Pelodiscus sinensis: one gene and its partners. The protein of the gene in region 1 binds, or shares a complex with, the protein of each later gene. Links are inferred from orthologs where the notes say so. Each region holds a gene or a part of one and is shown in the gene's direction. Other genes may lie near its edges. The genes, in order: MED8, MED18 and MED13.

Region 1 (3,742 bases):
CGGCTCACCGCCCTACGGCCCCCCCGCCCTACGGCCTCCCCCCCCGGCTCACCGCCTTACGGCCCCCCGCCCTACGGCCCCCCCCGGCTCACTGCCTTACGGCCCCCCCCGCCCTACGGCCCCCCCCCGGGCTCACCGCCCTACGGGCCCCTACGGCCCCCCCCGGCTCACTGCCCTACGGCCCCCCCGCCCTACGGCCTCCCCCCGGGCTCACCGCCCTACGGCCCCCCCACCCTACGGCCTCCCCCCGGGCTCACCGCCCTACGGCCCCCCCGCCCTAACGGCCCCCCCCCCGGCTCACTGCCCTACGGCCCCCCCGTGCTACGGCCCCCCCCGCCGGCTCACTGCACTACGCCCCCCGCCCTAGCGGCCCCCCCCCCTACGGCCCCCCCGCCCCTACGGGCCCCCCCCCCGGCTCACCGCCCTACGGCCCCCCCCGCCCTACGGCCTCCCCCCCCACGGCCCCCCCCCCGGCTCACCGCCCTACGGCCCCCCGCCCCGCCTCCTACGGCCCTCGCCCCCCCCGGCTCACCGCCCTACGGCCCCCCCGCCCTACGGCCTCCCCCCCGGCTCACCGCCTTACGGCCCCCCCGCCCTACGGCCCCCCCCCGGCTCACTGCCTTACGGCCCCCCCGCCCTACGGCCCCCCCCCCCGGGCTCACCGCCCTACGGCCCCTACGGCCCCCCCCGGCTCACTGCCCTACGGCCCCCCCGCCGGCTCACTGCCCTACGGCCCCCCCGCCCTACGGGCCCCCCCCGCCCTACGGCCCCCCCCCCAGATCACCGCCCTACGGCCCCCCCCCGTCCTACGGCCCCCCCCCAGCTCACCGCCCTACGGCCCCCCCCCGCCCTATGGCCCCCCCGGCTCACTGCCCTACGGCCCCCCCGCCCTACGGCCCCCCCCCGGGCCTCACTGCCCTACGGCCCCCCCCCACCCTACGGCCCCCCCCGGCTCACTGCCCTACGGGCCCCCCCACCCTACGGCCCCCCCCGGCTCACTGCCCTACGGCCTCCCCGCCCTACGGCCCCCCCCGGCTCACTGCCCTACGGCCCCCCCACCCCTACGGCCCCCCCCGGCTCACTGCCCTACGGCCCCCCCCACCCTACGGCCCCCCCCGGCTCACTGCCCTACGGCCCCCCCGCCCTACGGCCCCCCCCGGCTCACTGCCCTACGGCCCCCCCGCAGCTCACCGCCCTACGGCCCCCCCCGCCCAACGGGCCCCCCCCCAGCTCACCGCCCTACGGCCCCCCCGCAGCCGGGTCGGTACCTCCGCGTCCCCGCGCTCGCTGCCCGCCATGTCGGCCCGGCCCCGCTTCCGGCCCGCGCTGACCTCTCACCCCCGACCCGGAAGTAGAAGGGGGAGGGGGTCGGTGTCTTCAGAGGATGCAGCCATGCAGGTGAGCGGAGCGGCGGCGGCACCCCCCCCCCCCGCTGAGCCGGCCCGGGGGGGGCTCCGGGGGGGGTCTCTGACGGGAGGGCTGAGGGGGAGGGGCGGGGGCCCCGGGGGGGTCTCTGACGGGAGGGCTGAGGGGGAGGGGCGGGGGCGCCGGGGGGGGGCTCTGACGGGAGGGCTGAGGGGGAGGGGCGGGGGCGCCGGGGGGGGGGCTCTGACGGGAGGGCTGAGGGGGAGGGGCGGGGGCGCCGGGGGGGGGTCTCTGACGGGAGGGCCGGGGGCCCCGGGGGGGGGCTCTGACGGGAGGGCCGGGGGCCCCGGGGGGGGGCTCTGACGGGAGGGGCTGAGGGGGAGGGCCGGGGGCCCCGGGGGGGGCTCTGACGGGAGGGCCGGGGGCCCCGGGGGGGGGCTCTGACGGGAGGGGCTGAGGGGGAGGGGCGGGGGCCCCGGGGGGGGCTCTGACGGGAGGGGCTGAGGGGGAGGGGCGGGGGCGCCGGGGGGGGGCTCTGACGGGAGGGCTGAGGGGGAGGGGCGGGGGCCCCGGGGGGGGGCTCTGACGGGAGGGCTGAGGGGGAGGGGCGGGGGCGCCGGGGGGGGGCTCTGACGGGAGGGCTGAGGGGGAGGGGCGGGGGCGCCGGGGGGGGGCTCTGACGGGAGGGGCGGGGGCCCCGGGGGGGGGCCCCGGGGGGGGGCTCTGACGGGAGGGGGAGGGCCGGGGGCCCCGGGGGGGGGGCCCCGGGGGGGGGCTCTGACGGGAGGGGGAGGGCCGGGGGCCCCGGGGGGGGGCCCCGGGGGGGGGCTCTGACGGGAGGGCCGGGGGCCCCGGGGGGGGGCCCCGGGGGGGGGCTCTGACGGGAGGGGGAGGGCCGGGGGCGCCGGGGGGGGTCTCTGACGGGAGGGGGAGGGCCGGGGGCGCCGGGGGGGGTCTCTGACGGGATGGGGAGGGGCGGGGGCGCCGGGGGGGGGGTCTCTGACGGGAGGGGGAGGGGCGGGGGCGCCGGGGGGGGGGTCTCTGACGGGAGGGGGAGGGGCGGGGGCGCCGGGGGGGGGGTCTCTGACGGGAGGGGCTGAGGGGGAGGGGCGGGGGCGCCGGGGGGGGGTCTCTGACGGGAGGGGCTGAGGGGGAGGGGCGGGGGCGCCGGGGGGGGCTCTGACGGGAGGGGCTGAGGGGGAGGGGCGGGGGCGCCGGGGGGGTCTCTGACGGGAGGGGCTGAGGGGGAGGGGTGGGGGTCCCGGGGGGGGGGGTCTCTGACGGGAGGGGCTGAGGGGGAGGGGCGGGGGCCCCGGGGGGGGGCTCTCTGACGGGAGGGGCTGAGGGGGAGGGGCGGGGGCCCCGGGGGGGGCTCTCTGACGGGAGGGGCTGAGGGGGAGGGCCGGGGGCGCCGGGGGGGGGTCTCTGACGGGAGAGCTGAGGGGGAGGGGCGGGGGCGCTGGGGGGGTCTCTGACGGGAGGGCTGAGGGGGAGGGGTGGGGGCGCCGGGGGGGGTCTCTGACGGGAGGGCTGAGGGGGAGGGGTGGGGGTGGGGGTGCGGGGGGGTCTCTGACGGGAGGGGCTGAGGGGGAGGGGCGGGGGCGCCGGGGGGGTCTCTGACGGGAGGGCTGAGGGGGAGAGGCGGGGGCACCCGGGGGGGTCTCTGACGGGAGGGCTGAGGGGGAGAGGCGGGGGCGCCGGGGGGGGTCTCTGACGGGAGGGCTGAGGGGGAGAGGAGGGGGCGCTGGGGGGGGGGTCTCTGACGGGAGGGCTGAGGGGGAGAGGCGGGGGCCCCGGGGGGGGTCTCTGACAGGAGGGCTGAGGGGGAGAGGCGGGGGCCCCGGGGGGGGGGTCTCTGACAGGAGGGCTGAGGGGGAGGGGCGGGGGCGCCGGGGGGGGGTCTCTGACGGGAGGGCTGAGGGGGAGGGGCGGGGGCGCCGGGGGGGGTCTCTGATGGGAGGGCTGAGGGGGAGAGGCGGGGGCACCCGGGGGGGGTCTCTGACGGGAGGGCTGAGGGGGAGAGGCGGGGGCGCTGGGGGGGGGGGTCTCTGACGGGAGGGCTGAGGGGGAGAGGCGGGGGCACCCGGGGGGGGTCTCTGACGGGAGGGGCTGAGGGGGAGGGGCGGGGGCCCCGGGGGGGGGGCTCTGACGGGAGGGGCGGGGGCGCCGGGGGGGGTCTCTGACGGGAGGGCTGAGGGGGAGAGGCGGGGGCACCCGGGGGGGGTCTCTGACGGGAGGGGCAGAGGGGGAGTGGCGGGGCTTATTTCAAAGCTCTGATCAGCTTTTGCGGAAAAGCGTCCTGCCAATCTAGACGCGCTTTTCCGCAAATGCTTTTAACGGAAAACTTTTCCGTTAAAAGCATTTTCGGAAAATCATG
Region 2 (3,742 bases), on another chromosome or scaffold:
AGACAATGGGGGCAAGAGGAAGGAAGAGGAGAGGGGAGGAGTGTGTGCCTGGAGAAGAGGCATTGAAAGGAGGGGTGGGCATAAGGAAGGCAGGGGATGGAGCAAGTCATGTGTGAGGGCACAGAGGGGCATGAAGAGAACTGAGTCAGAGAGTGGTGAGGGGGTGGGCACCAGGGAGGGACAGGGGAAGGGGGAGGTACCATGAAAGCGCAGAGGTAAGGGAAGATGCAGGTGCCAGGAGATTGTGGGAGTGAAGCAGAAAGGCAGACACTGGGAGGGGAAGGACGGACACCAGAGGAGAGAGGAAGGGCAGGGGGGTAGAGGAAGGTGTTAGGAGAGGGGATGGGGAGGGGTAGCTACGGATGATCAGAGTGGGGCTAGAGGAGGAGTGGACACAGGGCTGGTGCAGGAGAAGGGGGGTAGGTCCCCAAAGGGCTGAGGGGAGTGAGAAGGGCAAGAGCTAGGACAGCAGAGGAGGGTGAGGGGTGGAGGGCAGCAGGCACCAGGGGAATAAGTGGGGCGAAGGGAGGGTGGGAGACATGTTAGCGGAGGGAAAAGGGAGAGGTTTACAAGATATTTAATAATAACTTGGTTGCCACAGTGGCACACATTGGCAGTGGCAGATATAGGGCAGGGCGAGTGGGGCAGCTGCCCCGGGCCCTGCGCTTCAAGAAGCCCTGCGCACGGCACATGCGCTGTGTCCAAGGGGGGGCCCCATGAAATTGTGCTGCCCTGGGCCCCGCAAAATCCTCATCCACCCTTGCACATGGGAACAAGCGCCCATGAACTCAATACTGATGCACAAGACAAAATTCACTCTGCCTGTGGGAGGAAAATCTGAGCGGGAACAGTCCCTCAGCCTCTCCCCTCGCGCTAATGCAATGCAAGTGAATGCTCTTGCAGTACAGTTGCATGCGGGGGCCAGACCCATCGCTACTGGGAGGACAGGGGAGAGCTCTTAGCGGGGTCACAGAGCCCCCTTCGCGTCTGCTCGCTTGGCCGTCGGGCCGGGCCGCACTGCCTGGAGGGGTGGGGCGAATGGGGCTCGGGGGCGTGGCTGACGTGGGCCTAACTTTGGTTCAGAAACTGTGGGCCCCACAGTGCTGGGCCCCGGGCCCTGGCTGCGTGGCGGCTGCAGTAAGGACCGTTCCCTCGCGCGCCTGCCCGCCCGTTGGGCGCCATTTCTGACGCGTGACTCTTACCCCAGAACGTTCTTCCCCCTCTCGCTAAGGAGCTGGGCCAGAGAACCAACTTCAGCCTCTTTGGGGCGCCTCGGGCAAGGCGAGGGGGAGGGGCAGCCCAGGGGGGCCGGGCGGGGTTAAAGGGGGGGGGGCATCTCGCGCACTAAACCGAACCCCGCCCCGCCGCCTCACTCCGCCCGCTTGCCTGCGGCGCATGCGCAGGAAGCCGCTGGGCCTGGGCGGTGGAGGTGGGGTTCGCGGAGCGGAGCTGGGCGCGAGGGAGCAGCCCGTGTAGCGCGGCGCCCTAGAGGTGAGTGGGGAGCGTGCGCCCTGCGCAGGGGGCCCCAGGACCCTCCCGGGCCGGTTCCCACGCGCCCCCTCCCTGCGCCGAGCCGCAGGCTGGAGCCGGGCTGCGCCGCTTGTCCCCCTCGGGCTGCGGGGGGCGCCCCCTCCCAGGCCCCTCCGCCGTGTCGGGGGGCTCCCCGCGCCTGGCCGGCCGCTGCAGTCATGGGCCTGGTTTCTTTGTGCTTCATCTAGGGAAGCCAAAGCCATGGAGGCCCCGCCCGTTACCATGATGCCCGTCACTGGCGGCACCATTAACATGATGGAGTATTTACTCCAAGGTAAGACGGCGGGAAGGTGCGTTTGATTTCGGGTTCCACAGGCCGCGAGGTTCGTCTGAACACGCCCAGCTTGCCTGCGCCCCAGGCGTTGCAGTTGGGGAAGAGGCGGCCATACCGCGAGAAGGTCCTTTTCTGGAAGAGGTTGACGTTTAGGGCTTAACGCTCCAGCAGCAGGGATCTGGCTCTGACCGTGCACTAACTCCTGGACTCCAAGAGGAACTCCTAGGGACCGTCTCCCCCTCCCCTTTCCAAACTCCTTTTTGGTGCAGGATAGTCCCTTAGTGCAGACTTGTTCTGGGCTTTGCTCTTGCCCTTGTAGTTTTTGGTTCTGTGGCAAATCCCTCTGAACGATTTGGTGATAAACTTCTTTGTAGTTATTAACTTTCTTGGCGTCTGTGTGCTGCTGTTGTAGTTACAGTGCAGCATGCAGACATTCAAAACCAGCAGCAGTGCACCTTCAGGTCCTTGATGTGTAGGGAGTGTGTTCAAGCAGTTAGAACTAAGTTATTTTCCTGACTGTTGTTTACTGTCTGATCTTGGGCAAAGTCATTCAGGTGTTGTACACCTCTGATTCCTTTTCTAGAAAATATAAAATAAGGGAATAATCCTCCTTTTGTAAAATGCTTTGAGATTCCCAGAGAAAGAGCACTGTGTATATATTTCCTGCAGCTTTTGCAGCCTCTGCTTTTTGAAAAATGAGCATTGTTTGCTTATTTGCTCCTATTTTTTAATATGGTGAGATAGTTTGGGATATCCCATGCACTGCTGGAAGTAACCATGCAATCTTTGTGACAATAGTAAGCTTTTCAGTGGTGAAATAATTATCTTGTTTTAAATCAGGAAGTGTTTTGGATCAAAGCCTAGAGAGCCTCCTTCACCGGTTGCGTGGTTTGTGTGACAACATGGAACCTGAGACGTTTCTGGATCATGAGATGGTGTTCCTCCTGAAAGGGCAGCAGGCTAGTCCCTTTGTCCTGAGGGCACGGCGCTCCATGGACAAAACTGGAACACCCTGGCACTTGCGCTATTTGGGACAGCCAGAAATGGGAGACAAAAACCGCCATGCTCTGGTGCGCAACTGTGTTGACATTGCCACATCAGAGAACCTTACTGACTTTCTGGTGGAGATGGGCTTCCGCATGGACCATGAGTTTGTTGCCAAGGGCCATGTGTTCCGCAAGGGTATCATGAAGATTGTAGTGTACAAGATCTTTCGCATCCTGATTCCAGGAAACACTGATAGCATTGAGCCCTTGTCTCTCTCCTACCTTGTGGAGCTGAGTGTTGTAGCTCCAGCAGGACAAGACATAGTGTCTGATGACATGCGAAACTTTGCTGAGCAGCTAAAGCCTTTAGTTCATCTGGAGAAAATTGACCCCAAAAGGCTCATGTAAAGGACTCAGCAAATAATCTAGTTCTAACAGCCTCTTCATGCAAAGACTGGACAAGAGTTTATATACCAGTTTCATTCTCCAAATAATGGAGGAGAGATGTCTTAATATTATTTCATGAGACAGGAAATACAACTATCAGAATCAGTAATACAGTGGAGCTGACTGCACGCTGTTGCCAAAAGAGGAATGTATTTTTTTCCCACTTTTTTTTTTTAACTTAGCAATCTTAGGTGTTAGTTTATCTGCTAGTGTTACAAATAAGATGAAAATTAGTTTTTCAGGCAAAAGGTGTTACCCCTTCAACAAATATAGATTTTTTTTTTTTAAAAGCTAGTTTCCTTAGTTAGGACTTGGTTTTCAAAACTGAACTCTCAAAACATAACTTACTTTTAAGACTATTTATTTTAGGTACTTCAGTAAACTGGGCCTATGAAAATAATCTGATCAGTTTCTCTGATTTCTAGTCAATTCCTTTTTCTGCTTCTTACCTATTTGTAAATGTCTGCAGAAGAAGCTTGTAGATATTTAAAAGTGGTATTTTAAA
Region 3 (3,742 bases), on another chromosome or scaffold:
GGGACTTTGATGTTTAAACTAATTGCAAAGGAGCAATGAGAAGTCCTGTGACACCTTAGGCATGGTCTTTGCTAAAGAGGAAAGTCAACTTAAGAGATGCAACTTCAGCTACGTTTATTATGTAGCTGGAGTGGAAGTATCTTAAACTGTGTTTTGGTGCTTGTCTATGCAGCAAGAGACATACAGGAGCAGATGTGCCCTTGAAGTCCCTTAGTCTTCATTAGGACTACCAGCACCGACGGGCATGCCCTCCCAGTTTGAATTAGCATGACCTGCTACTTCCAATCCTGGAAGATCAATTGTGGCAGTTTCCATCGTCTCCATAGTGTAGATGAGCCCCACGGGACTCACAAAAATATATAGCATCATGAACTTTTGTAGACAACACCCACTTCATCAGATGATGAGCTGGAGAGGAATAACATGCATAAGTAAAAGCGACGAGGAGTCCTGTGGCACCTTATAGACTAACTGAAGTGTAGGAGCATAAGCTTTCGTGGGCAAAGACCCACTTCGTCAGATGCATCGAAGTGGGTCTTTGCCCACGAAAGCTTATGCTCCTACACTTCAGTTAGTCTATAAGGTGCCACAGGACTCCTCGTCGCTTTTGCAGATTCAGACTAACACGGCTACCCCTCTGATGCATAAGTAAGTATTTTATAACAGGGGAAAAAAAGGAGGCACCTGTTAATTGTGGGCCCGCTGCTAATGAGGCGATGTAAAAATGAAGTGTTGAAGGAGCAGCTCATCCTCCCGCGCCACGCCACGGAGCCCCACTAGATGTCGCTCTCTCAACGAGCAGCGAGCCCCCTCTTGCGCAGCTCCCTAGCGCTGCCACAGCCCCCCACGGCCCGGCTGCGCCATTGCAGCCTCTTTCCCTGAACCTCGACGGCGGCCATCGCTGCTCCAGCCCACGTGACGCGGCGGCGGCCAATCAGCGCGCGGAAGGGGGGGCCCCCCTAGACTCTCGTCCCTGTGGCCGCCATTAAAGAAAAAGGGGCTCGGAATTAGACGGGAAAAGAATCTTCCCCCTCCCCCCTCGGCCGGGACGCGACATGGGGGCGACTCGCTGACGGGAGCCGGACGCTCAGGATGCCGCGGCCGGGCAGCCGCCGACAGAGACACCGCTGAGGGAGGAGGCCCGGCAGCAGGGGCTTCGGGGCACCGACTGCGGCCGCCGCGTCCCTCTGTCTCGGCGGCGGGGCCGGAGCGTGTGGCGTCGCCCCCCTCCCCCAGCTGAGGAGAAGCCGGGGTGCGGCGTCCCCGCCGGGGAGATCCGGGGTTGGCCCCCCCGCCCGCGGAGGCCCCCCCCCCCGTTGAGAGCGTTTGGGGTCCAGCCCGCCCTTTGGCCCCTCCCTCCCCAGCTAGGGAGCTCGCGGGGTGCAGCCCCCCCCGTCCCGAGAGACCTCTCATCGGAAGACTTGCGGGGTTCGCACCGGCGGAGGGACCTCCCCACCCCACGGCGAGTCGGTGGGGCTCGGAGCGCCACCCCTCCGGGGGGGGGGTCTGGTGGGGGTCAGCGCAACTTCGGGGTAGGCCCCTGCTGAGGAGAGACTTCGTGGGGCTCTGAAAAAAGCCGGGGCGCAGCCCCTGGGGAGCTCCCCCCGCAGCGCCTCGGAGGGGCGCCCTGGTGTGTCTCTCCCTTCCCTCCCCCAGCGAAGAATCTGCACGCACAACGGAGACTGTTGGGCTGGTTGCACCCTTCAGATAAGAGGATTTTTTTTGATGGGGGGTATGGTGACACGAAAACGTACCTCGCTGGACTGCTGCTGAGGGGGCTTTCGGGGTCCCCTTCTGAAGAACCCCCCTGGCGGATTTGGGGTACACCCCGGGAGAATTTTACCCCAGTCTTGGGAATCCTTAAAACAGCTGGTTTCTGAAACCCGAAGTTTTTGTCTGATCTAATCTTTAATTTATTTGGAATATATTTTGAGGGGGAGAAGAATCTGACACCCCCGCTTCTTCCTCTTCCCCTTCGGACTCTATCAACCCTCTACCACTCATCCCCCAGTCATTCCACTATTTGCCCCTCTCGTCTGGCGATTAAGAAAACGAGGAAGAGCAGGGAGGTGGCTGGATTAATTGCCCCTGTTGGATTATTTATTCCTCAACTCCCTCGTTTGGCGACTGAGATAAGAGGGAGGGGTCGTGAACCCATTTTACTTCCTGCCCCATTGGATTAATTACCCCACTTCTCTCCCCTTGTTGGATCAGTTACCCTATTCTCCCCCCTTGGTCTTCGATTGAGTAGACGAGAGGAGCAGGGAGGATTGTGTATCTTAAATCTCCCATCGTTGGATTATTGACCCCTTCCTTTTTTCTTCCCTTTCCTTGTTGTCTTTTCCCCCTGCTTTGGCAGAAGAGAAGGAAAGGTTCTGACTCTTGCCCATTTTACGCCGCTCTCCTTCTGAATATTTTACCTGACACTATTCTGTGTGTGTGTGTGGGGGTAAATTCCCTTATTTAATTGTATTATTTGTGCGTGTGTGTAACCTCCCTCCCCCCTTCCTTCTGTGTCTCTCCCTCCCCTCAGTCTCTCTCTCTGTCTGTCTCTTTCTTTCTTGTCGGAGGCTGTGGGATAATGGCGTGTGGGTTGTGGCTGTGAGGATGAGTTCCTGCTTCGTGCCGAACGGGGCCAGCCTGGAGGATTGCCATTCCAACCTATTCTGTCTGGTAAGTGTCCACCAGCTGCGGACACACTATACACAGAGGGAAAGAGTTTTTTTTGAGGGGGGGGGGGCGATGGGGGCGGGGGATGGAAGGGGTAGTGGAAGCAAAGCAGCCATTTTTAGTATAGCTTCTGCTGGATGAGTCCTCAGAGTAGGCCCTGCCTGGAACCAGCTAGCTTTTCTATGTCCCTCTGTTTTTCCTCCTCCTCCTCCCCACCCCCCTTTCCACCCACATCGTTGCCTCTATAATACCGTCTTTCCCTCTTTCTCTTGTCACTTTTGGCCAATATTACCCCAACACTTAGATTTTCCATTCTGTTTGCTTGCCCCCAACTTTTTTCTGCTTTCTATTAATTTTTTAGCTCTACCTTCTCACATTTTTATTTTAGTCCTGACAGAAGGTATGTAGCTCCACTACTCTCCTTTCCTCAGACAAACTTTGTATGCTTTCTCATCCCCCTTAGTGATGCCCCAGAAAAAATCTCAGCTAAATCCTCCCTTTTTCCTGGATTCTTAATGCTTTCTTTGTCTAATTTTTTCCGTAAGAAGCTGGTTTTGGTGATGATATTCTTACAAATGCATATGCCAGCCTATACTTGTGCACCATTTCACATCCTTTATTTTTTTAACTGTTACTTTTGACAGCTCCTAAAGCCAGCTTGTTTTGGGTTGGGTGATGGTGCATTTTTGTGTGTGGCTATGGGGATTGCTGACATCTCATTTTCCTTTTAATGCAAATTAGTTTGTATCAGGTTGATGGGTATTTATTATTGCAGAGACTGTTGTAAGTAAACCCTGTGTCTTACTGTTCTTGCTGTTGTATGTTTTGGGGGAGGGGAATCTGGGCAGCTTGAGCATGTCTGCAGGATACCAGTATGAAGGCTGCATCAGGCCTGCAGCTCAGTATGAGTAACATCTTGTAAGTCTTTCAAAGTACCAACTGTTGCAAATTCCTTAGCAACCCTGAGTCCAAAGCCTGATCTTCTAACTGTGGTGGGGGAGGACACCCCATTAGATAAACTGTGCAAATTGTTGTCATACCTGGGGGAGGAAAGACAGGAGATTAGAAGTAT

The links.
Region 2: MED8 (region 1) and MED18 share a complex: the UniProt entries of both Homo sapiens proteins name them as parts of the mediator complex. The link is inferred for Pelodiscus sinensis from reciprocal best matches to the Homo sapiens genes MED8 and MED18.
Region 3: MED8 (region 1) and MED13 share a complex: the UniProt entries of both Homo sapiens proteins name them as parts of the mediator complex. The link is inferred for Pelodiscus sinensis from reciprocal best matches to the Homo sapiens genes MED8 and MED13.

Annotation. Positions count from the first base shown.
Region 1 is NW_027465825.1:11,766-15,507, forward strand, and holds the start of MED8 (mediator of RNA polymerase II transcription subunit 8), read left to right. Parts: upstream 1-1,354; 5' UTR 1,355-1,392; coding exon 1,393-1,398; intron 1,399-3,742. UniProt on the Homo sapiens protein: Component of the Mediator complex, a coactivator involved in the regulated transcription of nearly all RNA polymerase II-dependent genes.
Region 2 is NC_134716.1:84,449,496-84,453,237, forward strand, and holds the start of MED18 (mediator of RNA polymerase II transcription subunit 18), read left to right. Parts: upstream 1-1,352; 5' UTR 1,353-1,491; intron 1,492-1,718; 5' UTR 1,719-1,731; coding exon 1,732-1,804; intron 1,805-2,644; coding exon 2,645-3,198; 3' UTR 3,199-3,742. UniProt on the Homo sapiens protein: Component of the Mediator complex, a coactivator involved in the regulated transcription of nearly all RNA polymerase II-dependent genes.
Region 3 is NC_134731.1:5,977,438-5,981,179, forward strand, and holds the start of MED13 (mediator of RNA polymerase II transcription subunit 13), read left to right. Parts: upstream 1-939; 5' UTR 940-2,607; coding exon 2,608-2,673; intron 2,674-3,742. UniProt on the Homo sapiens protein: Component of the Mediator complex, a coactivator involved in the regulated transcription of nearly all RNA polymerase II-dependent genes.